Regions from separate parts of the Mus musculus genome. Here regions 2, 3, 4, 5, 6 and 7 are each reported to be linked to region 1. The links are microRNA targets in miRTarBase. Many come from high-throughput screens and were not tested one by one. Region 1 holds a microRNA gene; each other region holds the end of a gene's coding sequence.
The links. The annotated mature microRNA mmu-miR-876-5p reads UGGAUUUCUCUGUGAAUCACUA and lies in region 1 at 2,604-2,625, shown strand. An mRNA with a match to its seed (bases 2 to 7 or 8) in the 3' UTR can be bound and repressed. Matches are read on the target gene's strand: a 7mer-m8 pairs with bases 2 to 8, a 7mer-A1 pairs with bases 2 to 7 and ends in A, and an 8mer does both.

Region 1 (4,068 bases):
CTTCTGAAATTTATCTCATCTACCCTGCTGGTATAGTGAAGCTCAAACAGAAAATTAGCCTGATTCCTCAGGTGATGAAAGAAAATGCTGAGTTGGCAACTCTATTATTAGGGAGGGTTTCAATTATAGATATGAGAGAGAAAACATCTGGATCTATCTTGAAGAGTCTGTAACAGAGAGAAAGAAAACCAGATTGGACATTGTGAGATCTATAGCATGCATGTTGAAATGTACTTGTGGTACAGAAGGAACACAGAGGCCAGCATGGGCTTTGATAAGCTAATAGGCACCATGGATATATTTCCCTGTACCCATATGTCTCATCTGCCATAGGTAAGGGAAATGTTTCCTTTAATAGCTGTGAACTAGTTTCTGGGAATGCTAGAATTTATCTAACCCTCAGAAATCCTCCTTTACTCACTGTAGCTTGAGCTCATTCCTGGATGTTTGGAAAGTCTGTGGCCTCACAATTATCTGTTTTCAAATCTTCCTTGACTTCTGAGTGTATTTCATCCACTCAACGTGAAGCTCAAAAGGAAATTTGCCTGATTTCTCAGGAGATTTCTTCTGGGCCAGTTTGGTTCTGAGTGTCACAATGTTCCTTGAATCCTAGGGCCTTTCCACACAGCTGTTTCTCTATCATGTACAACTGTCATGCACATCTGCCATGCACATCTGCCATGCACATCTGCCATGCACATCTGCCATGCACATCTGGCATACACATCTGCCATGCACATCTGTTATGCACATCTGCCATGCACATCTGTCATGCACATCTCCATGCACATCTGCCATACACATCTGTCATGCACATCTGCCATGCACATCTGCCATGCACATCTGCCATGCACATCTGCCATGCACATCTGGCATACACATCTGCCATGCACATCTGTTATGCACATCTGCCATGCACATCTGTTATGCACATCTGCCATGCACATCTGTCATGCACATCTCCATGCACATCTGCCATACACATCTCCCATGCACATCTGTCATGCACATCTGCCATGCACATCTGTCATGCACATTTCTCAGGCTTAATGTTGCTTAGTATCTTTATTTTCTAATTTCTCTCATTTGTTGTCTACAATCTGGACATGCTTGCTAGTTTTCACTTATATCTAAATTTTGTGTAATTTTCTACTTTCAGCAGTAGTGTAGCAGAGAACAGATGACATTTTAATTTCTTCTTTCTACTGTTTTTAATGTGCCCCGTCTGCTTCAAATGTTCTAATCCTATCCTCATTGCTAAATTGTATTGTACCTTCAATTTTTCAACTAAGTAATTTCTCACAGAAACCTCCTGCTATGACTGGATAATGTGGACTCTAAAGCAATCTATGTGGACCCTTTTTAAGGAACACAATTGTTCTTGTTGGTTTTATTTATTTTGTTTTATCTGTTTCTTGAAGCTAGGGTATGTATTGGGTTTGCATTTACTTCCTTATACCTGGCAAGCATTATGTACGTCATATACCAGCCATACGGTAAGTATATATGAATGTGTAAATAATTTTACAATTTATTTTCCACTTAAAGTTTTTCCTTGCTTAGCCAGCCAGTCTGGCCTTACTTCCCTGTTTTACTTGGGAATGCACAGTGATATGTAGTGACAGTTTTGAACACACTAAGATGTTAGATTTGCAAATTTCTGAAAAATATTGTATGTTAATTATTATTGACATTCATGGTATACATACAAAAAGTCAAAATTCTCAAATCCATAGATGGCCTGAGAGATATAATCCTAGTCCATTAAAATTTAAAAATTATTTTCTTTTTAATGATCATAAATTAAAATTCTAGTTTTCTTTTAAATCTTTAGATAAATGTTACCATTGAAGCAAACATAACAAAGGAGAAAAACGAAAGATGTTTCATTCCTGTGAATTTATTAAAGCAGTGCCCATTAGAGATTTTTTTCAGTTACTTTGGTGTTTTGTTTTGTTTTGTTTCTCAAAGCTGAACCTAGTGAGGAAACTAACATATATTTAAGTAGCCTCAGAGAGTTTCAGCCAATCACATGCAGAACTCAAACTTAAGATAGAAAAAAAATCAGATAAAATCTAAGAACTTATGCAAAATACATGTAGGCTAACTGAGACTATTTTTAGAGCAAAACAACCACATCATGTGTATGTTGTAATGTGAGATGCACGTATGAAATGTCATTCCTTATTTTACTTCTCTCCTCCCACAGGTTATATTAATATCCATATCTCAATTCTATGAGCATAGTGGGCATTTTACTTCTCTTTCATCTCTTGGTTGTTCTTGCTCATTCCTCTAATTGATCTACCTTGATACATAATACGGAAAGTATAATTTGGTTTTATGTATTTTTCAGATTTTTTCAGTGTTTCTTATTATTTTACCAATTAAAAATGTATATATTATAATACTATATATATAAAACCTGTTGATTCATGAATGTTTATTCTCTTGCTCAAATGTTGTTAAAATTAAATTAAATTATATTTTAATGCCATATGAACGATAAAAAGATGTCTTGAATAATTTTTCAAACTCTGGGCATGGTAGCATATAATTTTTATGTTCATGTGTACAAGCATTACATAAACTGTCACGTGCTATGGATTTCTCTGTGAATCACTATATCAAATCTAGTGTGGTAGTGGTTTACAAAGTAATTCATAGTGCTTCACAGGTGCTCCTACAGTTGATCTGTATTTTGAAACCTAGGATCCTTCATTGGGCCATTGAGAACAAATCCTTAAGCTATAAGATTTAAACCTTTCATAAACAGTTACTTTGTTAATTAGAGAACAAGAAGCAAAGATATGTCAAGCACTGGAAAATTAAGCTACATATATTGTAACTTGCTTGTAATATAACACCTGAGAAGCTGAGGCAGGAGGATGGCAGCATTTGAGGACTGCCTATTACATATTGCCAGGCCATCTCATATCTCATATATATATATATATATATATATATATATATATATATATATGTATATATATATATATATACACACACACATATATATGTGTGTGTGTGTTTGTGTGTGTGTGTGTATTTTACATTTATGCACAGTCTGTTCTTGTTTTTTTTAGCAACACCTGCCCCAACAATTGGCAGTATGCCCTATTTTTAAAAATGCAGTAGATCCAAAACAAAAGCACTGAATTGACATCTGCACCCATTAATTATAAGTGAAACATTTTGAAATTTAATTCTGTTACTATTACTTGGACAAATATATATATATATATATATATATATATATTAATAAAGAGGAAACATTTTTACAGAGAGCTTATCCAGTGACTTTACTGATTATGCAATTCAAATAGAAATTAATCAGGGAATTTATAAACATCATTATTTTAAAATAATTTTAAAAGTAACTAAATTTTAATACTATTCAAATGATACAGACACAGAATTAGCCAAAATATACAAAATTGTATACTTAATTTGCCATTATTTATCATTAATTCTCTACAAATTTAGCTTCTGTCATCTTTTAATGGCAAAGAAATTTAGTAAGAGTCTAAAGCCATCGTCAATGTTTGAGAACTTGGATTGTGCATCAAGAGAACCAGGGTACAATTTGCTGCACACCTGCATCATATGCATCACAGAAACCAATAAGTTCAGCTGAAGAGATCTGACACTCTCTATCACTCTCTATTGGCCTATGTTGGACCTTACACTAATGTGCATGTTCCCACACACAGATGCACTCATATACATACTCATAGTGTTAGAATAATCTTTAAAATGAGTAAGTTTCACAAGGCTAAAGAGTATAGTTGCTATCATGTTACCTACCAGTTGCTGGGAAACAACAGGAAGTTCATGGTTATTACCCTCATTAGTGTTGTTAAATGTGCTGATTCTAGAAACAGAAACCCAACCTTTCACCATTAGTTTTTCAATCGCTGGTATAAGCTCCAAAAATTTTGTTTAGTTTTGGTATATGAGCTCTTCTATTTGAAGGCTAGAACTTAGGTGTAATCTAAGCTCAGTCATATGGCAACAAGATTTTCGTAGTGATAGATTGTATTTATCTCCGATTTCTTGTGACACCAT
Region 2 (4,068 bases), not on the chromosome of region 1:
TTTCTGTCATTTTTAAAGTTGATAGAAAAGAATAACTCATACACCCTGATCTTGTAATTTACAACACTTCAAATCCTTATTTAGCACAAGAGATGACTGCTGTACAAATTCATTGGTTTCCATCCAATTTGGAATCTTGATACTTTTCACTTATAAAAGCAATTACTTATATATTGTTTTTATACTAAATGCCTTTTTATTAGTTGAAGAAACTTTATCTCTGAAATACTAAGAATACATTGTTTAGTTTAGGCTCTTTTGCCCTTAACTGTATAGCTATTTGTTCTTCCCAATTTTGTTTTGGTGCCCTTTTCAGCTGTATAGTAGGACTCTATTCTATAAGAAACTCTCTTCTCAGATATATTCTTACCTATTTCTTCAGCTATCAGAAAATATTGATCCTATTCTTTCATTGGATTTTGGGTGTCCCAACATATTTTGCTCCTCAAATTAATATTTTTCAGATCCTCAAAAGAAAGATTCAGAGATCAAGACTTAGCATCACGTGACAGAGACAGGAGTTCAAGAGACAGATCACCTCGTGACCGAGATCGAAAAGATAAGAAGCGGTCCTATGAGAGTGCTAATGGCAGATCAGAAGACAGGAGGAGCTCTGAAGAGCGTGAAGCAGGGGAGATCTAACTAGCTGTGTACATATCTTCAATCCTTAAGCTTCCCATGGAGTTACATGCTATTGTTTATAGTTGTAAAGGGTGACAGTTCTAGACACCGATCCAGTCAGACTAGATGTATAGTATCCAATGATTTGAACTGAACCTGTTTTCCTTCATAAAGCCTAAAACTACATCCATAGTTTTTTGTGAACCTGAACATAACAGTTTATATGATGAGATACTGTTCTCTATTCTTTCAAGTTAGGAGTGATAGTGAATGAATTGTGTTAATGTCTTGCAGTTTTTGAACATTTGTAAAATATTGTCTTCTTTTCTATTCCAAACAGCAGCAGCTTTAGGATTTTTTTTTTCCATTATAATTCTTCTTCCTTTGACTTTTATATCTCCTGATACCTGTTCCTCCAACTATAAGAGGAGAGGGTGAAGGGAAGTATTGTAACTTCTTTTCTAAGGTTCTGTTCACGTTGGTTATTAGTTGATTACAGTTGAGCATTTCTACTGGATTGTGTGCTGGAGACATTTAAACACGGGGCTGTTTTGTTAGGGGCCTATAGAGTTGGAAGTTGAACAGCTGTTGCATTACATACTTTTGCTTTTATATTGAAAATTTGAAATCAGACTTGCCTTGATTTTTTTTTTTTTTTTTTGTTCTAAGAAACTGCTATGTTCAGTATATTGAGGGGGGTGGGGGGGCAGGGACTATTTCATAATAGCACTTGTGTGTGTGTGTGTGTGTGTGTGTGTGTGTGTGTGTGTGTGTAGAGTTTAAAGACTATAATTGTAAAAAAAATGAAAAGAATCATCACCACCACTGTAACTTGTTGATAGTAAGTTGCCACTAGAACTATTTGCTGTGGTTATTTTCTATTTTGTAACATCTTAACAGTGCCTTTCTGTATAAGGCACCAAAGGAAGTAAATATTTAACTCTGGATTTCAGATGAATTGTTGCTCCACCCAAATCTCTTGCTGCCTATACTATACTTCAGAGCTGTAGTGAGCAGCTTCTGTAAGGAAAGAGTGAACCTGTAGAAGCAACTAAGAGTTGCTTGGTTTGTATTTCTTAATTGACAAGCCTGAATAAAAACCATATGTAACCAACATACTGAAACAGCAGTTTCTGCATTAAAGATCTAATTACCTACTGACTACCTAGTAGTTAACAAACACCTTTTGTTCTTCTAGAATATAGGGGAAATAATATATTAACTAGTAAAGTTAGTATATATTAAGATCACTTTTTGAAGGGTAAGATCTCATGTAGTGCAAGCTGACCTAGAATTCACTGTGTTAACAGGGTATGACTTTGAACTCCTGACCTTTGATTGAGCCTTTGCCTCACTGCTCAAGATTATAGATGTGTACAATGAAACCCAGTTAAAATACTATTTCGGGGTGGTTGGTGGTGGAGGGCAGTTCCCAAAATTTAATGACAGGTATTTGACCGTTTGTGAATGTGAAAGAGCAGAAAAATAATGGCCATTTGTGTGATTATTCTTGAGTTTTAGAGATGAGATCTTGTTCATGTATCCTTGGCTTGCCTTGAATTGCAAACTTTTTGTCTCAGCCTTCTAAATATTGGGAACATAGGCACAGACCAGCGGGTGTAGTTTAAACTTTTTTTTTAACAGCAGAAAGGAACAAAAGCATGATAAATTATGCCCATTATCTCAGTGCTGATGCATTTGTGAGGCTGAGGCATGTGCTTGGCAAGTTTAAGGTCAGGTAGGGGCACTCCTGTTTCCAGTTTACCAAGTGAACACATTTATAAAAGACTGTCAGGAATGCCTGGGACAAAGCCAACATCTATGAAGGATAACTGTACGTGGTGTTGCCCTATTTCCAAAGCACCATTGTTACAGTCTTTTTTACTTTAACTTTTTCTTTTGAACTGAGAAAAACATGAAAAAAAATCAATTAGCAAAATTGGGGTGTGAGTTATATGTGTTTTAGGTTCCTGAATTTTCCCCCAAAGAAAGTGCAGTATAAATGACTTGAGGGCTGGATTGAAGCACTTCCATTTCCTGTTTGATGTCTCAGTTTCAGTTCCTAGCATTATGAAAATTATATTGTCAAAAGTTTTTGCTGCTGAGCAAGGCATGGTGAGTGCTCTGGTCCCACAATTGAGGGTAGTTCGGAAGCTAAGAGTGGATTTGGAGTTCAACACCAGCCTCAGCAGCTTGTAAGCCTTATACAAAGCACACTTGTAAAAGTGTGGTTTTTGAAATCACATAAAGGACCCATTTCAAAAATAGGCCTATAGTGAATCGAAGTCCAAATTCCAGTTTATAGAAAATAAGGTAAGTTCTAAATGTATGTTACTTTACAAAACAACTGGCTAATTTTTCTTCAAAAAGTCAAAGATTTAGGTTAACCAATAACTGTGTTTGTAGTCTAATTAGATCTAAAAGAGATTTTTGACTAGCTGGCCATGGTGTTTCATGCCTGTTATCTAGACACATGAAAGTCAGGAGAATTTCCATGATTCTGAGGCCAACTTGGGCTACAATAGAAAAACCCTGCCCTTTGGAGGAAAAAAGTAAGAAAAAATAGAGAAACTGAGAGATTATATAGACTGGAAAAAACTTGTTAACTTATATAATGATAAACTTGCACTACATTAAAAAAAACCTTATTTTTAGTATTTATGTGAGAGATGATATTTGGTACTTATTTCAAATGATGCAGTTAAATATCCACATACATATAAAAATAGTGTGTAATATGTTAAATATTAGAAGAGCTTTATGTATATTTTCAATTTTTTCTTTTTTTTTTTTTTTTTTTTTTGGTTTTTCAAGACAAGACAGGGTTTGTCTGTGTAGCCCTGCTGTCCTGGAACTTACTTTGTAGACCAGGCTGGCCTCGAACTCAGAAATCCACCTATCTCTGCCTCTGCCTCATGAATGCTGGGATTAAAGGCGTGCGCCACCACTGCCCGGCTATTTCTTAAGATTTTATATTTGAACCTTATCAGAATCACACTAATAGATAACACCAATGGACACATACACAAAAAGTACCTGAGACCATCAGCATTGAGACACCACTGCATACCTACTGAAATGGCCCACAGAGGGGCAGTATAGCAATATCAAGTGCTAGTGTAGGTGGTGAACAACTGGAACCCCCAAAAGGACTGAAAATGGCACAGCTGCTGCTTATAAATTAGGCATGTCCATAACACAGTTCAGTCGTCTTGCTGCCCAAGGGGGAAAAAAAACCAGGAGACTCCACAGATTTGTATTTGAATGCTTAAAGCAGTTGTGTTTATAGTAACCCCAAACCACAAATATTAGAAAGATCTATCAACCAGAAATCAGACTGCGGTGCATCCACACAATGGAAATAATTGCTAATGTATATAGCAATGAGTAACTTCATATACTCAACTGAAGGAGCTAGACCCAAAAGAGGACACTGTACAGTTCTCT
Region 3 (4,068 bases), not on the chromosome of region 1:
AATTCTGGACTGTTCCAGGGCCTTGGCAAGAAGCTAGTAGACAGGAGTGGATCTCTGGAAAGTTCTCAACAAGTACTCAAGGCTAGCAACAGCAACCTAGTCTATCTGCCTTACTGCTTACAACCCCTGGATGTCTGTTAATATGTCGTAGTATAAAAGTAAAGTTTTGTCTCCATTTTCTTTTTTCATAGATCGAGACATGTGATCAAGCATCATGATGGTAGGTTTCTTGACTTTAAATAATGGGCCTTTGGGGGTGGGGTGGAGCTGGCGGTAGAGCACATGCCTAGCGTGCATAAGGCCTTGAGTCCTGGTCCCAGCACTGCAGGAAGAGAATTGTTTGATTCACTATCCTAGGAGCTGTTTATAGACAGCTCAAACATGATAAGCATCACTGTATGAAAGACATTAATTAGGGTGGCTTGATCAGCTACAGAAGGATCCTTTGGGGTCACATTCTTTTATCCTGTGGACTGGCAGGAAGGAGGAACGTAGCCATGTCACTGGCCCTCTAAAGGGAGAACAGCACCTTTGTGCATGCAGCAAGGCAGGTAGGCAGGTAGGCAGGTAGGCAGGCGGGTGGTCAGTTACACAGCCTGCATGGGTTTGCCGACCTTCTGTTTTAACCCTGCCAGTTCTGCTGAGAAGGCCTGGGACGATGAGCTTGCTGTCTTTGTACAGCAGTGGCCTTGCTCCTCACCCAGAGGAGCCGAGTGACAGAGCTCTGCGGGTACATCTTAGCCCTTTCAGTCTCTAGTTGGTAGGCACTAGATTTACCTTCTGGAGGCTTCCGGACACTCAGGGAAAGAAATGGACAGGGTTGTAACTTCATGTAAGGCACCGTCACTGATGTGTCAGAAGGAAGTTGAGGAGCGTGAGAGGGAACGTGGGTGTCTCTGTCAGGTGGAGTCTAGTGGTAGAAAATCCAGCTTTTCGGTGAAATCCAGGGCCCTTGAGGCCAAAAGCTCACTCAAATCTTGTATTATATTTATTTCTAGGAAAGGGGAATTGATGAAGGGGGTGGGGATGGGTGATCTGCCCAGACAAGCAGTTACCAAATGGTGGAGCCAGAACTCACCTCCTTTAAGAAGGTGATTGTCCTACAAACTCATTTGATGGTGAGGTCTGGAATGTAAATAATGTAATGTTCGGCTAACCTTCTCCTTCTCTCCCTCCCTTCCCCTTTTCTTTTCAGCTCTGAAGATTCATTTGAACCTGCTTAATTACAAATCCAGTTTCTAATATGCTATACAATTTATGCACGCAGAAAGAAATAGCAATGTACACATCACCTTCTTTATATCTTACTTTAAATATTTTATGCATGTTTTCAAAAAATTGGAAATATCCTAGATAGCTGAGCAATAAATCTTCAATAAGTATTTTGATCAGAATAATAAATATAATTTTAAGAACAATAGTTGATCATATGCCAAACCCTCTGTACTTCTCATTACTTGGATGCAGTTACTCATCTTTGGTCTATCACAACATAAGTGACATACTTTCCTTTTGGTAAAGCAAAGAGGCCTAATTGAAGTCTGTCACTGTGCCCAATGCTTAGCAATTCTCACCCCCAACCCTGTGGCTACTTCTGCTTTTGTTACTTTTACTAAAAATAAAAAACTAAAAAAAAAAAAAAAAATTGTTGCCAGACATTGCCAGTGTTACATGAAGTGGTTTCTAGGTAGCATAAATGCCTGCAAGCACGTGCGTATTTTTCATCATCTAAAGAGGCAGTGGGTATCTTAGAAGGTTCTTGCAGAAGCAGGCTCCTCAACTAAGGGTCGAGAGGAAAGTGACTAGGAAAGGCCTCCAAAGCAGAGCAGTAGGAGGTGGTGATGAAGGTCAGGGAATAATAGGAAGAAACTGAGAGGGGAGTGAGGATCTCAGACGTGCTGGTCCCACAGGGAGCTCTAGAGCAGAGATCACATCTTACAGTTTGTCTTGGTGATGTGCACAGCTTGTTGCTGGCTCCACAGGACTGTATGCTAGGATGAAAGCCCAGATACTTTGGGGTGCAGGTTATGGTTATGGGGTGCAAGTTATGGTTATTGGTGGCAAATTATGCAAAAGCTAGGGACTGGTTCTTATTGCTGGATGTAGGTAGAGCATGGGTGACTACTGTGTTTCCTGTTAAATTCTGCTGGGTCTACAGCACACAGTCTGAAAACCCCACTCTGAGTTCAGAGTTTTGGCTAATGTTAAAGAGGGAATGCTAATCAATTTGGAACTAAGTTTGAATCCTAATCTTACAAAAGTTACTATAACATCCATGACTTGAGCTCTTAATTTTGAGAGTTTAATTGTGTCCCCAAAGCTCCTTTTGTGGCTGGAGATCTAGTCCCTGGGGGTGGTGATAATGAGAAGTGGTGAGGGCTCTAAGAAGGAGTGTGGTGGGAGGTCCTGTCAAGGGACAAGGAGCCGTCTGAGTTCTGAGAGGGCTGTTAGAAAGGCAGCAAGCAACCGGGCGGTGGTGGCACACGCCTTTAATCCCAGCACTTGGGAGGCAGAGGCAGGTGGATTTCTGAGTTCGAGGCCAGCCTGGTCTACAGAGTGAGTTCCAGGACAGCCAGGGCTATACAAAGAAACCCTGTCTCAAAAAACCCAAAAAAAAAAAAAAAAAAAGGAAGGCAGCAAGCCTGGCCTCTTCTGCCCTTCCTGAGGCACGTCTTCTGTTGCTGTCGGTGGGAAAGAGGAACCTTTGGTTATCATTAACATTTTGAAATTTCCAAACTCTTAAGTAAATCTCTTCTTACTAAGTAGCTTGTATCAGGTATTTTGTTATAACAATTACTGATTAATAGTAACCATAAGCCAGAAGTGGGACAATCAATCTTGCATCACAAAGCTTTATTTATTTATTTATATTTCACACAACTGTTATTATTGTAAATTTAGATTCATTTAATTTTGTGTATGATACATGTACATATGTACACTACATGCATGCTTACTGCCTATGAAGTTCAGAAGAGGTCATCTGGAGGAAGTCACATCCCCTGGAACTAGAGAGTTATGGATGACTGTGAGCCACCATGTGGGTGCTGGGAACTCAACCGGGGTCCTCTGGAAGAGCAGCCAGTACTTTTAACTGCTAAGCCTTCCAGTTATTTTTTTGTGTGTATACGTTTGTGTGTGAGGAGGGAGCATGCATGTATATATGCTTGTGTAAGGGTATGCATGCAGGGGGTGCATGTATGTTCATGTGTGTGTGCATGTGTATGTGGGTTGTGCATGTGTTGTATGGGGGGATATGTGTGTATGTGTGTGTGTGTGTGTGTGAGAGAGAGAGTGCATGAATGTATGTATGTATGTATGTATGTATGTATGTATGTATGTATGTATGTATCAGAGGATGGGTTGCTGCTGGATATCTTCTCCAGTTGCTATCACTCTCTACCTTATATTTTGAGGCAGAGTTACAGTGAACGGCAAGCTTGGAGATTTAGCCGGCCATCCAGCCCCAGGGATCTTCTAGTTACCACCTTTCCAGTGCTAGGGTGAGAGGCACATAGCACCTTACTCAACTTTTCTGGGATGAGGGCTGAACCCAGGTCCTTCAGCTCCAAGACTGAGGCACCTCCTAGGCCCCCAGTACATGATATTTATGGAATGTAGATGATTTATCCCAGCAACCTCCTGGGATAAAGTTCCTTAGGGTCCTAGGTGTATTGTTTGATCTTCAGTCTCTTCTTCTGTGAAGGTTTCATCCTGTTTGGCTAGTGAAGTTTCAGTAGGACTGAAAGTGGCTGTGTTACTACTGGGCTTAAGGTGCATAGGGAAACTTCATGGGAAGTTCCTCCATAACCTGGAGAAAAGGCAGAGACGTTCATCGCACAGAGACATCACAAGAACAAGACTGCACTGGAAGCCTGGGAACTCAGTAGAAGGAAAGAAGACTAGAATTGCACCTCCAAAGACTGCTTCCTGCAGCAGCCAAGAGCTCAAGATGAACCTGGGTGAGGGACCTGGGAGAATGAACCCCACCCTCCACCTTGGAAAGGACCTCAGGGTAGCTTGCAGAGTGACAGATGTGGGGAAGTGGATCCTTTCCACCTGTCCCAG
Region 4 (4,068 bases), not on the chromosome of region 1:
TGTGGGGCAGGAGAGTCAACAAGAAAAGCTGAGAATCTGGTTCGGTGGATAAAGTGTTTGTCTCGAGTGCGTGGGGACCTTGGTCAGAATCCCTAGGACTCAACTCAACTGAGGCACAGCAGTGTCTGTATGGAGTCTGGAAATCCAGCCAGGCAGGGGACCTTATGCTCTGCTAGGTCCCACAGGCCAAGTTCTTCAGGATCTGGGGACAATAGAGCTGAGGGGTCAGCCACGAGGCCCCACTGCTGGCTCTGGGGCTTGTGAGTGTCCCTATCAGCACGGTAACCCATACGGGAGACAGAGGAACCTTGAGCTCATTTTGTGGGGATGTCTGGCTGGGTGTTCTGTGTGGGGCATTCTGGAAGGTGCTGAGTAGTGTCCCACTCTGTGTCTGGAGCTCCCCCAATGTGACACTTGTCCCCAGCCCCCACCGAGAACCTTCACGAGGACACAATCACCAACCTGAGGTTTTTGTTTGTTTGTTTGTTGAGACAGAGTCTCATGTAGCTCCAACTCACTATGTAGCCACAGATGACCTTGAAATTTTGATCCTCCTGCCTCCACCTCCAAGTGAGTGCTGGGTTGGTAGATATGTCAGAATGCCCAGCTCTAATCCACCTTTTTTTGTGACAGACCTTGGACAAGGGACTCCATCTTCCCTGAGCCTCAGTATTCTTAGCCATGTAGAGGAATCCATTTTATACACTGTTCCTCTGGGCGTCAATGTCAGGGTGTCCTGTGTCTGTCCTGGACCGTCCTATGGCCCAGTTAGGGATGCTGGTAATGTCTGGAGTGTTTGTGGGGGAGCTTGCTTCTCTCTGAGTGGGTGGGAGAGGCACACGTCACTAACAGAGGCCAGCAGAGGCCTCGGCTTGGCCAGCTTGCTAGGAGAAGGTTGGGGTAGGCAGGTGACCCTGGAACCTTCTGTCCCTCTGGAAAGGCTTCGAGGGGCTTTCCCCAGCATGCTAGGACCCAAAGGAGGCCCCAAGGGCAGGGCTTCTTGGCAAGGCTCTGCTTGACAGACAGAACACGGGTCAGAAACCTACCTCTTCTGAGTCATCCCAGGCCTCTGGAACACGCAATAAACCCATCCCGACACAGGTGCACCCGCCTGGTGAGCCGAGGGTGGGGTCCCTGAGGACATGGGATGTTCTGGGGAGACTGGGCAAGCCAGTGACTCTGATGCTGGTCCCAGCATTTAAAATGTTCATATTACATTGGTGTGTACATGTGTGTGTGTGGGGGGGGCACGTGAACATGCCACAGCACATGTGTAGAGGTCAGTGGATACCTTGTAGGAATGGTTTCCTTCTTCTCCCATAAGGGCCTTGAAGATGGAACTCATGTCATCAGACTTGGCAGCAAGCTCCTTTACCTACTGGGCCCTCTTGCTGCCCCCAGTTTATTTTTTACTTTTTTTTTTCATTAGGTGTATAGATATTTTGCCTGCATTTTTGTCTGTGTACCACATGTGTGCAGTACCCACAGGGGCCGGAAAGATGTCCTCTGGAGCTGGAATTACAAGTGCATGTGAGCCACCCTGAGGGTGTTGGAGACTGATTCCCGTCCTCTGCAAGAGCAGCCACTGAGCCATCCTTCCAGCCCCAAGTTCATTCTTTATTCTATGAATCATGTCTACGGTGCCTGAGTGGCCAGGCTCTGGCTGCCTTGAAGTCATCTCCCTTATGTCCCTGTCTCATGCTGAACTATTTTGGGGGACGTGACCAGCAGATGAGTCTGGCCACAGTTGTGCCTGGGACAAAGGCCTGGGTTTGGCAAGCATAAACCCTGTTCCAGTCCTGTGCTTTCAGCCTCTGCTTAACCTTGACGCTGCGACCCTACAGGGAAGCTCCTCACGTTGGTCACAGGACTTCTACAGCTGGGGAGATGACAGATGTCTGCATTGCTACCTGTGGGTGTGGGGACACCCCACATCTGTCACGCAGAAGGCAGGTCTCACTAATATTGATTGGGGCAGCATGACAAGAGAAATAGAAATGAGTACAGGAGCCCCATCCCAAAGCAAAACAAAATACCCTTAAGTTTGAAGGTAAAACTCAAGTGTTAGAAAGTGGAATTCAAGAGCCAGACGTTGATAGCACACGCCTTTAACCCCACACTCTGAAGGGAAGCAGACAGATCTCTGATTTCAAGGCCAGAGTGAATTCCAGGACAGCCAGGGCTACACAGAGAAACCTTGTCTCAGGGGAAAAGGAAAGGAAAGAAAAGGATAGGAAAAAAAGAAAACGAATTTTATAATTTATTGTATTTTTTTATATTATTTTATGTGTGGGTGGAGCTGATACTAAAATCTAGTTCCCTAATTGGTTCTTGATTTGGTCAATAAAGAAGGTGGAAACCAGTAGGTCCCAGGCAAAAGAAGAAGCATGTTTTTAAAATTACAAGCAACAATTTTATTTTCAAAGTCTTATGTAGACAAGGAGGCTTCAGACTTGTTATTTAGCAGAACACTACTACTCAGTCACTCGTCCATCCATCTGTCCGTCCGTCCGTCGGTCCATCCATCCATCAATCCACCCATTAATCCATCCATCCACTCATCTACTATAGCATTTTTCTATATGTAATTGGGATTCTGTCATTGCAATTCCACAGATGGCCATTAGGTGTCACCCTCAGGCCAAAGAATAAAATCTCTGAAGCCGACTCTCCTCCACATCTACATTCCAGCACCACCGAAATGTTCTGCTCAGAGCCTCAGTTTTCCCTTTTATGAAGTCCACACAAGTAATAAAAAACACACCGAGCTGGGCAATGGTGGCACACGCCTTTAATCCCAGCACTTGGGAGGCAGAGGCAGGTGGATTTCTGAGTTTGAGGCCAGACTGGTCTACAGAGTGAGTTCCAGGACAGCCAGAGCTATAAAGAGAAACCCTGTCTCGAAAAACAAAACAAAAAACAAAAAACAAAAAAACAAAAAAAAATCACACTGAGACTGTCACCATGGTTCAGGGGGTGTATGGTTGTGTGTGAGAGGAGACAGGTATGCTGGTTGCAGGACAGGCAGCATGTGTTGTGTGTGTGTATTTAGGAGATTCCAAATAACCCTATAGAGTGAGACTTGGCTTTGGTTTCCGAAAGAAGTAGAGGGAGGCTCAGATGAGAGAAGAAAGATCTCAGGAATCCCTCGGGAACTCTCTAGAATTCCATCCTATTTAGGCAGAGAAGCTTTCTAGCTGGACACACCAACTTACTGTGTAATTCTGAGTACCAAAGGTGACCTCTCTGTGCCTGTCTACATTAGGGTAGATGTTGTTTCTCCTTACCCAAGTTCATGAGGAATGTCTCCTTTAGGGAAACTGAGGCACATCAACAAGGTTACCCACAGAGGCCACCAGGTGCCAGTAAAGGGTCTGAGAGAGGTTCACCTCATAGGGACCATACAGGACGCCAGGTTAAAAAACAGAGTCCACTTTAATGTTGAGGTGCTAGAAAATCTCACAGTGTCCGTGCCCACTGCACGTGTGTGGGGACATGCCCTCCTATGTACAGATTTCCTATAGGCGAAGAGCCACTGCGTCCAGTCAGAACATCTCAGGCCCTGCTGTCCAGGACCTGCGTCTTGCTAGGATGTGTTGAGCAGTCTGTTTTGAATATCCTCCAGAACTTGATGGAAGAGTCCCTCCGGGGACTTCATGCCATCTAAATAGACTGAAACCGGAAAGGGACTGGGTCAGGACTGGTAGGGAGAGCAGTGTGGACTCTCTCAGGACAGGAAAGAGCAGCAGGAGAGCCCGGGATGGGATTCAATGGGATGTAGGGAAGCCTGGGGTTTAGAGCATTGGCAGAGCCTCATTCTGGTTCTTACCCACTTCCACCCCGTCCTGCTCCATCTCCCGTCTATACTTCTGGTACATGGGCCACACGTGACCATCAAACAGGCCAGGAGGATCAGGGACCATGTAAGTACGGCTTCTGTAGAGAGAAAGGAGTTCCAGGCCTGTCGTGGGAAGTTGTTGCTCAAGGCAGACTGCAAGTAATCAGCAGACAGGCTCTGGATGAAGGATTAGATAGATCCCTGGGCAAAGGCTGTGGCTGTGGGATTCT
Region 5 (4,068 bases), not on the chromosome of region 1:
GGTGCTCCTGGAGAGCCTGGTAGAAATCATCCTGGTGGCTGTGCAGCATGTGGACTACAGCCTGCGCTGTGAGCAGGACCCCGAGAAGAAGGCCTTCATCAGGCAGAACGCATCCTTTCTCTATGAAACTGTCCTCCCGGTGGTGGAGAGGAGGTTTGAGGAAGGTGTGGGGAAGCCCGCCAAGCAGCTGCAGGACCTCCGGAACGCATCCCGGCTCCTGCGGGTGAATCCCGAGAGCACGACTTCTGTGGTCTGAGGCTCTGCTCTGTGTCTTTGTGTGTGTACGTGTACACGTGCTACAGATGCGTCATTTGTATTTACATTACACAATGTCAGCACATTCCTCAGAGACACAGACAGCATATAAAAGTGCCCTCTGAAAAATGCAGTCAAAAGGAGAAAGATAATGTGTTAAGCATCACATACAACCCCCCAATACTGGGACTGTCAAGAGCACATACCATGTCTTGCTCTGTTTTTTAATAATTCTTTAAGTAGAGTGTATGGTCACACCAGAACATTTCAGGCTACTCTTTAACTTGAAAGACACTTCTCACGTTAGCACATCTAGGAGCAGTGCACTTCCATGCTGCCTAGAAAAATATTAGGTCCACAGGGTTTAAGTATGTTGTAAAACATTCCAAGTCAACAAAATGGCTTCGTAATGGTCAGTGCTGTGTGACACACCTGTGTCCTGTACTGAGACAGATCAACATGAAAAGAAATGAGTTGGGAAAACTGGTTTGGGATAAATTTCAATATGTGGGCCTCAGGTCTGTCAGTATTTGTAGCATGTGGAAGGAAGCCTTTATAAAACTTTGCAGGCATCCAAAAGTCACTGAAAAGTAGCATGTTCCATGGCTAATTGGATGCATCTTTTTGGGGGAGGTGGGAGAATCACAAGGACTACGTTGAATTTTTAACATATTCCAGAACTGAATGGATTTGCTGCTGCAGCGTGTTTTGCCATGTTCAGGAAGTAAGTCTTGCTGAAAAGCCACACCAAGGATCCTAGCAGTAGGCGGGTAAGTGACTCCAGCCCCTGCAGACACTTCACCACCAGCCTGGGTTTGGAGGCACTGAGACTTCTGGCAAATGCAGAACTCCCTGTCTGAGAAGAGTTCAGGCTGTGTGTAGGTTAGGAGTTTTAAAAAAAAGAATGCAATGTCACTCCTTAAGAATGCCAGAGATTTGGTTTTGGTCATTTTGTTTTCTTGAGATAAGTTTCAGCCCAGACTGGTTTTGGGCTGGTGCTGTAACCAAGGATGACCTTGAATTTCTAATCCTGACTCCACATCCCAAGGGCTGGGATTACAGGAATGTGCCATAATGCTATTTATGCTGTGTTGGAGAAAAAAAACCCTGGCTTTCTCATACTAGGCAAGCACCCTACCCACTGCTACACCTGCTGCCCTGATGGTTTTTGAAACTTAGTAACTGAGTAGAGATGCACATACCTCAAGCACAGGGAAGGGACCTTCTGTGACTCTTCAAATGCTGTGCTGCATTTTAAAAAACAAGAGCCTGGCATGCTGGTGCACACTTTTAATCAGAGCACTGGGAGGCAGGAGCAAGCGGATCTCTGAGTTCAAGGCCAGCCTGATCAACAAGGTGAATTTCAGGACAGCCAGGGATCTGTAGAGACCCTGCCTTAAAAACAACTTTTAAGAGAATTCCAGATTGTAATACTTACTTCAGGTTGTTGAGTAGGGATAGGTGGGTAGGTGGAGCCCCTAAGCTTTTATTTTTTTTTCTTTTTCTTTTTTTGGTTTTTTTTTTGTTTTTTTGTTTTGTTTTTTGTTTTTTCAAGGGTTTCTCTGTATAGCCTTGGCTGTACTGAAACTCACTCTGTAGACCAGGCTATCCTTGAACTCAGAAATCCTCCTGCCTCTGCCTCTGCCTCCCAAGTGCTGGGATCAAAGGCATGCGCCACCATGCCCGGCTTGCCCCTGATTTCTAAAGTGAGCTCTGCTCTGATCACTTAATGTCCTGTTAGAATGTGGGTGCTGAAACCCATTTTCCCACTAGCTTGTAGCTGTGGGTTTTGTCAACGATGCCATGTTTTTATGTCCATTGGGTCTAAAGGCTATTTCTTGTCTCTTGAATAAAAGAGGTAGTAGTAAGCCATAAAATGATGTAAAACCCTAAATGGCTTCTGCAGTGATTCAGGGTTGTTAAGACTCCTCAGCTTCATTAACTCATCAGGCCAGCAGTTTCTCTGTCTTTTTCTAGCTCTCCATGCATAGAAAGATCGCAGAGGTCACCACTGCAGCCTTCCACTTTCCCATGTTAGGGTTTGTTGATTTAAATCAACAATGAAGACCAAGCGGGTCTTGAACTCACAGAGGTCATCCTGCCTCTGCCTCCTGAGTGCTGGGATTAAATTATGCTCCACTATGCCTTGCTAAGTTAGAGTTTTCTACATAACCATAACTGGATGTCCCAGCCAAACAAATGTACTCATTTCTCTTAAGCTCACTGGACTTGGATTTGATGAAATTGTGTGGCTGCGATGCCGATTTGGTGCCACTTGGAATTTAATAGATAAACCGTGCATAAGGCCTCGAGGTGTAAGAAGGCTAACATGTTTCCCCACATAATAAATGGCTGTATCTTTATGGAAATGGAAGTAGAGAACTTTATTCTGCTAAGAACGGGCTAATGTGTTCCTCTGTGTAGCTGAGGGAATGCAGTCTGGGAAATCTGCAGGAAGCTTGAAGGATTGTCTAGCAGTGGTAGTTCCACACATGCTGACGTGCTGTGACATTAACCACCTTTTGTTTGCTTTAAAACTAACTGCATAGACCAGGAATCACAGACTGGGTTAATTTCAGTTAGAGAATTCAGCCTCTGATGAGAGCCTCCTGTCATGAAATGCTCAAAGTCATTGCTGTGACTTTGGTATTACCGTGATTGCCAGCACATTCATCCTGCACCTGGTATTAGTTAGGGCTAAGCAGCTGGGGCTTGCTGCAGATGCAAGCATTGCTGAACACTACACTTTGATGTACTGTGAGAAACAACCTTTAAACTGATAAAGCTTTATAGCATTCTCACTGGATAGAACTGATTGCTATAACATTCTGTTTATTTACTTGTTTTGAGACGGGTCTCACTCTAGTCCTCTGCCTCCTGAGTGCTGGGATTAAAGACATGCTCAGCTAGGTGTGGTGACACACAGTTTTTATTCCAGAATTGCAGAGGCAGAAGCAAGAGGATCTTTCGGTAGCCAGGGTTACCTAGTGAGACAGACCCTGTCTGAGAGAGAGAGCCAGGCCTCTCGGCACACCCTTTAATCCCCAGCACTTGGGAAGAAGCAGGCAGATCTGAGTTTGAGGCCAGCCTTGTCTACATAATGAATTCCAGGACAACTAGGACTACATAGATGCTGTTACCACAAAAAAAAAAAAAAAAAAAAAAAAAAAAAAAAAAACCAGAGAACTGGAGAGATGGCTTAGTGGTTAAGAGCACTGGCTGCTCTTCTAGAAGTCCTGAGTTCAATTCCCAGGAACCACATGGTGGCTTAAAAAGAAAACAAGCAAACAAAAAATAACATTTGCTGCTCTCGAGGGCAGGCTCAGGATTAGTACGCAAAATCATTAGTCCACTTTCAGCAAATGACACCTTCTGGCCTTGGGTACTGCACACGTGTTCATACACAATGTAAAAAATCTTTGAAAACTTGTAGTAAAAGTTATACGTATGGATAGATTGTGTGCGCAATATAAGCCTTTCCTTGCTTATCTTGTTTATGGGAATACATGTATAAAGTTCATGTCTAGCTAGGTGCTGCTATGCCAAACCAGGCCCTTTTTGTTGTTACATACATTAACCCATCTACTGTGTCCTGCAGATGTCTCCAACGGTAGTGTTTCTCCTGGCCTTTTAGCTCCTCTGGTGGCAGACTTGACTGTGGCAGAAGGAATTGTCTTATGCATCCAGGTCCCTCTTGTCACGGTTTTGATACAGGAACCACCATGTCAGATGTCCATGGTCCACTTCTTGGCCACAGGAGCATTAAACTTGGTGTGCTGGCTGATTTCACCTTTACTCACCATTTTCCTGGAG
Region 6 (4,068 bases), not on the chromosome of region 1:
GTAGCGGTCAGAAGAGCGCACTGGAGAGCCTGGACCTGGAGCTATGGGTGAGCCACCATTTGGAAACTGAACTAGAAACTGAACCCAAGTCTTCTGCAAGAGCAGAAAGTGCTCTTACTTGCCAAGACACCTCTCTAATCTATAAAGTACATGCATAAAAAAGTAAAAATAAAAAGTAAAAGAACTTTTAAAATAATCAGAAAATAACACCACAATATTTCACAGTAAAATCTGGGTCAAAATGGATCCCCTGGGCGATAGCTTTGGCGGTTCCACAAGGGAAGGGGAAGCAGGAATATCTGTATGCATTCCAGCCAGGGCTACATAGTTAGAGCTTAGCCCAGAAACAAAAAAAAAAAAAAGAAAAAGAAAAAGAAAAAGAAAAAGAAAAAGAAAAAGAAAAAGAAAAAGAAAAAGAAAGAAAAAGAAAGAAACAACTAGGCAGCAAAGAAGAGGAGAGAGGGAAGATGGGGGGGAGGATCTAGGAAAGTAAACAGAGGGAAGGGGTGGGCAGCCTCAGGAAGAGGTCCACAAGAGACAAAAGCCAGGGGGTAAATGGGGCTGGGAGGGAGAGCGGTGTATGTCTTCAGAGCGGGAGTCAGTATGGACTCCTCTCAAAGGCTCAGGCTCTGTCACTGAGCAAGATGAAGAAACAAAGGCTGGATCTTAGTTAGGTCTTTTAGTAGCTTGGATCTGTCCTCTACACCAGAATACCCTCAGAGGCCCAGGCCACAGCAAGTTCCAGCCTGCTGTAGAGCCTACACACAGGGTCCAACGTGTTCTTTTCCCCAAGGCTAGGAGAGCCAAAATATCCACCAGGTTCTTGTTCCTAAGACTTTGAAGGCAAAGTTAACACTAAGGCCTATGGGGCCCACTTTAAAAAAAAGAAAAAAAATCACTGGCTGACAAAAGGACAATAAATCCTGCGAACTGGCCTGCAGAGTCAATGCATGATGCCACCACCTCCTCCACTGACTTCCTCCTCCATAGACATATCCTTCATCACAGTCCCAAACCTGCCTCAGCTACCTCCCTTCTCCTCCACTAATCACACATCAAGCCTGCTAAAACCAGGCCCACAACGCCTATTGCACTCCTTCTGACACTATGTACAGTTCTGAATGACTCTTGCTTGTAAGTCTGGCCTTTGTCCTTAGCTTCAAGATCATTTCTAGGCTGCTAGGTTTTGTCTTAGGAGTTGTTTGGTGGGTATCAACTAGGCTGCCGTAGTGAGGCATGGAGCATTCAACCTCTTTGGGAAATGGCCTTAAAGTATTGCTCCAGAGCCTCTGGCAGGGCTGGAAACTAGGTTAGCCACATGGTTGATAGGATTACTCTAAGGAAAGAGGGCTTGGTGATGCACGTTGTGATCCCAGTACTCAGAAGACTGAGGGGAGATTGCTATAAATTTGAAGACAGTCTGGACTACATTGCTAGACACTGCCTCAAAAAGAAAACAAGAAACAGGAACAAGGAAGGCAGATTGAGGCATGCCTGTGATTCTAACAGGTAGAGGCAGGAGGGTCAGTTCATCATTCCTCATTCTTGGCTCCACTGAAACTCTTAGAGATAATCCAAAACTCTGGTCACCTAAGGCTCAAGTGAGTTTCCTGCTTCTTGGTACCATTTATGGCTAAGGCAGGTACTGGGAGAAGAGAAACCTTCCTATACCCCCCCCTCTGCCCCCCCAGGCTCTGCCCCCCCCCCGGCTCTGCCCCCCCAGGCTCTGCCCCCTCAGGCTCTGCCTATGTAGTTCTTCCTTCAGCTCATTGTCCTTTCACTAATAAACGATCCTGTGACTCATCTTAGCACATAGCCAACCTGAGGGAGCTAGTCAGACAGTGGCTTGCAACTGCTTTTAGGATAGTCCCACAGACCCGCAGAGCCTACCAAACTGTGCACCTCTGACTGCCTTATGAAACCCTTTGTGATCTGCCCACCCCTTGCTGAATAACCTTCGTTCCTTACTCATTTACTCCTGCTTCCTGAGCATCAACCATGCTCTCATTCGTATAACCAATATCCTCTCCAGACCCACCCCATGTCTAACTTCGGACACTGTAACAGTATAACCTGTTTATGACTTGGGACTGGGCCACATTCATGAGTTAACTCACCTCTCTTGTTTGAACCGTCTCCTGCTCTCAAGCCCAAACCTGCTCTCAAAAACATCTTTCTAGTTTTGCTTTTTCCTTCTTATGTATGTGTGCTTTGCCTGTGCTTATACTTGTATACCAAATGCAAGCCTGGTGCCTGCAAAACTAGAAGTGGGTGTTGATCCCAAGACTAGGAGTAAACGATCGTTGTGAGCCGTGTGGATGCTGGGAACTGAACCTGGCAGCCTCTACAAGAGCAGCCAGTGCTCTTAACCTCTGAGCCATCTCTCCAGCTCCTTTTCCTTTTTGATCACTCATCCATATCCTTCATACAAAAAATGTTTATTCCTTATTTCTTCTCCATTTCCACACAAGAGATAACATAGCCTAAGGAAGCAAAGGGTTTGTCTTGTTGGCTTTTTCTGGAGATGGGGTATCCACTGGGTACTGGGGATCGCAGTCCTGTCTATATGGTAAGTGCCTCACCAAAGAGTAAAGAAGGGAAGCCCCAGGCCCTTGGCAGTATGCAGTCTTCAACTCACCCCACCCTTTTTCTTAAAGACTGTGCTAAGAGAGATAAGGAAGAGTTGGCAATTCCCAAGATTCTTGGGCCAGAGCGAGGAGGTGTGGTTACTCCAGCCAAGACACTTTGCTGTTAACCATGGAAGGGCCCTTCTCTAGCCTTGGTCTCTAAATGATTAATTTAAGAGCTGGAATAGCGGCCGGGCGTGGTGGCGCACGCCTTTAATCCCAGCACTTGGGAGGCAGAGGCAGGTGGATTTCTGAGTTCGAGGCCAGCCTGGTCTACAAAGTGAGTTCCAGGACAGCCAGGGCTATACAGAGAAACCCTGTCTCGAAAAACCAAAAAAAAAAAAAAAAAAAAAAAAAAAAAGAGAGCTGGAATAGCTGTCTACAACTGGCTGCGACTATGGCAGGGGCAGGGAGGAGCAAAAGAGATCAGGAGCAAGAGAAAGTTCTTCTAGAAGGAAGGAAGGATGAAAGTCACAATCTCATGAGGCAGGGGTGATGTTTTTATTTGAAGACAAAAACACCCAGTATAAGAATTCGTATGTAATCTGCAAAAGTTTAAAAACAAGGAGAGGAAGACTAGAATCCAAAAGGCCTGGGGAGAACAAAGGAGGGTGGTAGGTTCTGCATAGGAAGGATCAGGCCACAAAGGGGAACTGTAACAGCAAGCCCTCATAAGGATTCAGGCTCAGGTTTTCCAGCTTCAGGGAGGTGTCCTCCTCACGGCTTTGCCGGGCACTGTCGGTACTAAGCAAAAGTTTAGCGCTGGCTGGCAGGCTTATGCCAGCAGGGAGGTTGGAGGCCCCTAGCCTGGCTGACCGGCCCGAATCTCGGAAGTTGAGCACCACCAGGTAACGCTCATTCTGGTCCCAGTGTCGTATGTAGGAGAAGAGGTCAGGTGAGGAAGACAGTGCATGGAAGTCACCGTGCAACAGAGAGCGCTCCTTACCCCGAAGGTCACTCAGCCGCCGGAACTGGGTAAGGAGGGAGCCAGGGTCTTCATTCTGGCCCTGAAAATGATAGACACACACAGAAGGAAGGAATGAGGGGGATCTCTGTCCATCTGTACAGCACCTGCCCACCCTGAGGGGCAGGCCTCAACTGCTTACCTTCACTGTCATGTTGAGGCTTACAGGTCTTGGGATGTGAAAGATGCTGGACTCATTCCACGGCATGAGTGGGGCCTTCGCAGGCTAACAAACAGAGAATGTGGGACTTAAAAAAAAAAAAAGGGTGGGTCCATTCCCCTTCCTCCCATTCTCTTTCCATTTCATCATTTTGTGTTGTTCTCTGCTGGTTCTGCAGGTATGATGCCTTTGTGGCATGGCCCCGGGACAGGACCTCATCTGGTCACCACTACAAGATGTACCTTTCTGCTTGTCCAGACTCTCACCAAGCTTCAGTTCCCAGAGCGCTCAAAGCCTCTAGCCAATGGGTGTAAAAT
Region 7 (4,068 bases), not on the chromosome of region 1:
ATCACTGCAAGTTCAGGAGTAACCTCCCTAGTAAGTTCCAAGTCAGCCAGGGCGTTAGAATGAGCGTACAGTGAGATCTTACGTCAAGCCTGCACAACTTAGACTTTTTCTCAGAAATAAAAACAAAAGAAGAAGGCTGACATAGTTCAGTAGTAAAACCTGTGCTTAGTGTGAGCCCTGGGGTTTAGTTCTCTCCATCCTGTCCCCCAAAGAATGACCCTCGAAACATCCTGATCCAGCTGTCCACTGACTGTGATGTTCTTCTGCAGGGAAGTTGACAGACATCCATGGGAATGCCCTGCAGTACAACAAGGAGGTGAAACATATGAACTCTGCCGGTGTCCTGGCTGCACTGAGGAACTACGAGTACTATGCAAGCCATGTTCCAGAGTCGGTCAAAAATGCGCTCATTCCATGAAGGGGTCTCACTTACCCAGAGGCCTTGGTTCAAAGGAACACATCTTAATACTGATTACTAATTGAACAATTGGAGCTCTGCCTGCATTTATCATTGATCAGCGATTTATTAGTAGTTAGGGATAGAAGATGGAATTAAAGAATTTTCTTCACATCATCTAATACGCTTAAGACTTAAGTATATGATACGATTGTCATTTCTCCTGCCTAAAAACAAATTAGCCAGGTGTGGTGGCACTTACAATAGTCATAGCTACTCCAGTGGTTGAATCAGAGGATTGCTTGAGCCTAGCCTCCATTACATAGCAAGATATGCCTAAACACAGAGAAGGAAAACAAAAAAGGAATTTAATTTTACTAATTAGCTAACAGGACCAGTTGTTTTTTTTTGTTTTTTTGTTTTTTTTTTTTTCCTTTCTCTTGTTGTTTGGGCTTTTTGTTTGTTTGCTTGTTTGTGGGTTTTGTTTTGTTTGTTTATTTTTTTGTTTTTTGTTTTTGTTTTCAAGACAGGGTTTCTCTGTGTAGCCCTGGCTGTCCTGGAACTCACTTTGTAGACCAGGCTGGCCTTGAACTCAGAAATCCGCCTGCCTCTGCCTCCCGAGTGCTGGGATTAAAGGCGTGTGCCACCACCGGCCGGCATTGTTTTTGTTTTTTTGAGACAGGGTTTCTCTGTGCAGCCCCAGCTGTCCTGGAACTCACTCTGTAGACAAAGTTGGCCTTGCACTCAGAGATTCCCCTGCCTCTGCCTCCTTAGTGCAGGGATTAAGGGCTTGCCCCACCACACCTGGCTCAAATGTTACTATTTCTAAGTGAAGAAATGAAAAAGGGTTAGTTTCAAATGACTGTCCAAGTCATTTGTGCAGTCAACATTCCTGCTGATAAACCAGATTTCTTCAGGGCACAGAGTCTTAAGTTACTCCAGAATTTCAGTTGTTTTGTTTTTTCACAGTAATTTTTAAAATTTCTGATTCCAAATAAGAATGCATATAATGATATTATTTATGTTGATTTATGGGGGAAAGTTTCTCTAAAATACATAGTCCTATCTTTTCATATTATATATCAGATTTTTTTCAAAAGTATTTGAAAATTATAAATAATGTGAGGATTAATTTATTCTCTTGTTATTAAAATCTATAATTGGAAAGCTGGGTAATTGCCTTTATTCCTTCCCCTGAGAGAATGTACAATCAGTTTGATTGTCACCTTCAGTAGACTGAGAAGCCCTACCTACATCAGGAAACAGGGCTCCCAGGAAGGATGAGCTGAGCTGGAAATGTAGGCGGCACTATCGCCTATGCTGGAGCCTGGATGGAATGAAAGGGGACAGAGAAAGCCAAGTGCCACGGGTTCTGTTTCTGCTGTCTGGTTGCCGTAAGGTGAGCTGCTTTGTCCACCATCCCTCCTGGCAGCCCCACCCCTAACCTTCTTGAAATCTTTCCCTCTGGCACTTGTCACAGCAACACAAGAGTCTTCTTTAAATGTGATGTTCACAAATCTTTGGGTATTTCATTCAGGCAAAGGTCTGTGCCGATCATAATTGCCATTCCTTCCCACAACCACGTTCACACGCCTGTAACCTCTCCCAGACCCACTCCACCTCTTACCACTTCCCAGCCTCTTTTCCTTTTCTTACAGTAACGACCAAGTCTAGTTTCTGCTGTCCATGTTCTCTGGTAAGTGGTCATCCACTGAGTGTAGTCGGCCTACCAGAAGCTGCACCCTTAAAGAAAGCTAGCTTTTACTCCTACAGAAGCTATCAATGTCAGCATGCCGTGAGATGGTGGTAGATGCCCCTCCCCTGCCAAGCTGGAATGTTAACAGGCTTGATCTTGGTTTTGGTGGGGTCTTAGGCAACCTCAGCTGCTGTGAGCTCATGAGTGTAGCGGTCATGTTTGACCCTGATTCTCCCTGACCTCTGACTGTTCCAATCCTTAACAGAAGCCCTAATACACTCTCCTACTTTAATGTTTTTTTTTTTTCACTTTTTTTTTCCAGTTGTGGATATTGAATCCAGGGCTTTGTACATACCAGTCCAATGTTCTACCAACTAAACTATATCCTCCCCCCATGGCTTTTTTTTTTTTTTTTACTGTTTTGGTCTCTGTCTGTTCTTTTGGATGAAGCAAGTAGAATGCACACTCAGAATGTTTAAGGCCCTGGGTTTAATTACTAGAGCAGCAGTCTCCAAAACAACTGCATGACAGATTCACCTGAAAAATTTTTTTCAATGCACTAATTCTGATTGATTGATTGATTGATTGATTGGTTGATTGGTTGATTTTGCTTTCAGAAAGCTGCTTTTGGGGCTGGAGAGATAGTTCAGAGGTTTAAGAGCACTGACTGCTCTTCCATAGGTCCTGAGTTCAATTCCCAACAACCACATGGTGGCTCACAACCATCTGTAACAAGATCTGGTACCCTCTTCTGTTGTGTCTGAAGAAAATGACACTGTACTCACATACATAAAATAAATAAATCTTTAAACCAAAAAAAAAGGCTACATTGGGCATGTGGCTTTGCCTGTGATTGCAATAACTTAGGAAGGATACAGGAGGATGAAGAGTTCAAGTCTAAGTAATACAGGGAGACACTGTTCTTTAAAAAAAGGGGGTGGGGCTGGACAGATAGGTTAGGGGTTAAGAGTCCTTGTTGCTCTAGAGAGGATCTGGATTTGGTTCCCAGCACACATTAAGAGGCAGCTCACTATCTCCTGCAACTCCAGTTCCAGAGGGTTTGACACCCTCCCTCCCTTTAAGGCACCTGCACACATGTCACACATAACTTATGCAGGCATGCATACATACACAAAAATTAAAAGTAATTACATTTTATGCTGATCTTGGGATAATTACTGTATTGCTCACTGGGATTACATCCATGGCTTTTTTATAGGACTGTCAGGATCTAGTAACAGGAAGGCATATCTGTGGCTTCGAAGGATTTGATCACTCCCTCTCGTAACTCCTGATTTTCGTTCTCTCCCTTCTAGCTGCTTGCCCTCAGTCATTTTGCTCTCTCCTTGTCTTCCTTCCCTCAGATGTCACTGTTGGCTGAGGTTGTACTCCTGGCTTTCCACTTTCTCAGTAGATTATCTGATACCTCCAAATAAACGACTTCACATAAGGTCTTTGCCCAGACGTACAAATGTAGAGCTCAACGAATTCTCAGTAGCTTATGCTCGACTTAGAGTGCTGAAGATTCTGTGAGACCAACTCTGGCAACAATATCATCCTGCCTGAAACTAACAACAATAAACACACAATATGTATTTGGATTAAAATGCTCAAACTCTAAGCCTAGTATGGTGGTACACATTTGCCATCTTGGTACACCAGAGGCTGAAGCAGGAGGATTCTAAGACTGAGGCCCACTTTTGCTATGTTGTAAGAACCTGCCTCAAACATACAACAAAACTGACAAGCTAGACCTCCACTCTTAAGGCCTACTTTGATGTCTTATAGTCTCCCCTCCCCCACGTTGTTTCTAAACAGTCCTTCTGTCTTGCTCCCACTCTAATTTGACAAAACCACATGTTTTGTAACTCCACCACATCTGATCATCACTGCTTCATTCTATTTTGTTTTCATTTATTTTCTTTCTTGCTGGCATACAGTTCTATGAACAGTGAGATAAACTGAGTTTTTAGAA

Region 2: the mRNA of Luc7l2 is a reported target of mmu-miR-876-5p. The part of its 3' UTR that is shown has no 7-base or 8-base seed match.
Region 3: miRTarBase lists B2m as a target of mmu-miR-876-5p. Seed matches in the 3' UTR shown: 7mer-A1 at 1,228-1,234.
Region 4: the mRNA of Nmrk2 is a reported target of mmu-miR-876-5p. Seed matches in the 3' UTR shown: 8mer at 2,823-2,830.
Region 5: the mRNA of Exoc8 is a reported target of mmu-miR-876-5p. Seed matches in the 3' UTR shown: 7mer-m8 at 1,876-1,882.
Region 6: miRTarBase lists Slc3a2 as a target of mmu-miR-876-5p. Seed matches in the 3' UTR shown: 8mer at 2,872-2,879.
Region 7: the mRNA of Bpnt1 is a reported target of mmu-miR-876-5p. Seed matches in the 3' UTR shown: 7mer-m8 at 993-999.

What each region holds. Positions count from the first base shown.
Region 1 is chr4:36,643,979-36,648,046 of GRCm38, reverse strand. Mir876 (microRNA 876) reads left to right here and starts at 2,594; the gene lies at 2,594-2,674. All of the region lies in intron 2 of Lingo2 (leucine rich repeat and Ig domain containing 2), which reads left to right.
Region 2 is chr6:38,607,689-38,611,756 of GRCm38, forward strand. Luc7l2 (LUC7-like 2 (S. cerevisiae)) reads left to right here. Exons shown (of 10, transcript NM_138680.3): 10 at 465-1,782. The coding sequence ends at 642. Among named protein-coding and RNA genes, the nearest start is that of Klrg2, 28 kb to the right of the region's middle.
Region 3 is chr2:122,151,456-122,155,523 of GRCm38, forward strand. B2m (beta-2 microglobulin) reads left to right here. Exons shown (of 4, transcript NM_009735.3): 3 at 192-220; 4 at 1,196-1,627. The coding sequence ends at 205. The region is part of intron 2 of Patl2 (protein associated with topoisomerase II homolog 2 (yeast)); the gene reads right to left. Among named protein-coding and RNA genes, the nearest start is that of B2m, 5.8 kb to the left of the region's middle.
Region 4 is chr10:81,195,775-81,199,842 of GRCm38, forward strand. Nmrk2 (nicotinamide riboside kinase 2) reads right to left here. Exons shown (of 7, transcript NM_027120.2): 6 at 3,830-3,936; 7 at 2,396-3,672. The coding sequence ends at 3,587. All of the region lies in intron 1 of Atcayos (ataxia, cerebellar, Cayman type, opposite strand), which reads left to right. Among named protein-coding and RNA genes, the nearest start is that of Atcayos, 3.1 kb to the left of the region's middle.
Region 5 is chr8:124,891,664-124,895,731 of GRCm38, reverse strand. It overlaps Exoc8 (exocyst complex component 8), which reads left to right. Exons shown (of 1, transcript NM_198103.2): 1 at 1-4,068. The coding sequence ends at 256. Among named protein-coding and RNA genes, the nearest start is that of Exoc8, 4.0 kb to the left of the region's middle.
Region 6 is chr19:8,704,461-8,708,528 of GRCm38, forward strand. Slc3a2 (solute carrier family 3 (activators of dibasic and neutral amino acid transport), member 2) reads right to left here. Exons shown (of 9, transcript NM_008577.4): 8 at 3,734-3,817; 9 at 2,422-3,634. The coding sequence ends at 3,263. Among named protein-coding and RNA genes, the nearest start is that of Slc3a2, 7.4 kb to the right of the region's middle.
Region 7 is chr1:185,356,209-185,360,276 of GRCm38, forward strand. It overlaps Bpnt1 (3'(2'), 5'-bisphosphate nucleotidase 1), which reads left to right. Exons shown (of 9, transcript NM_011794.3): 9 at 270-1,561. The coding sequence ends at 418. Among named protein-coding and RNA genes, the nearest start is that of Eprs, 4.8 kb to the right of the region's middle.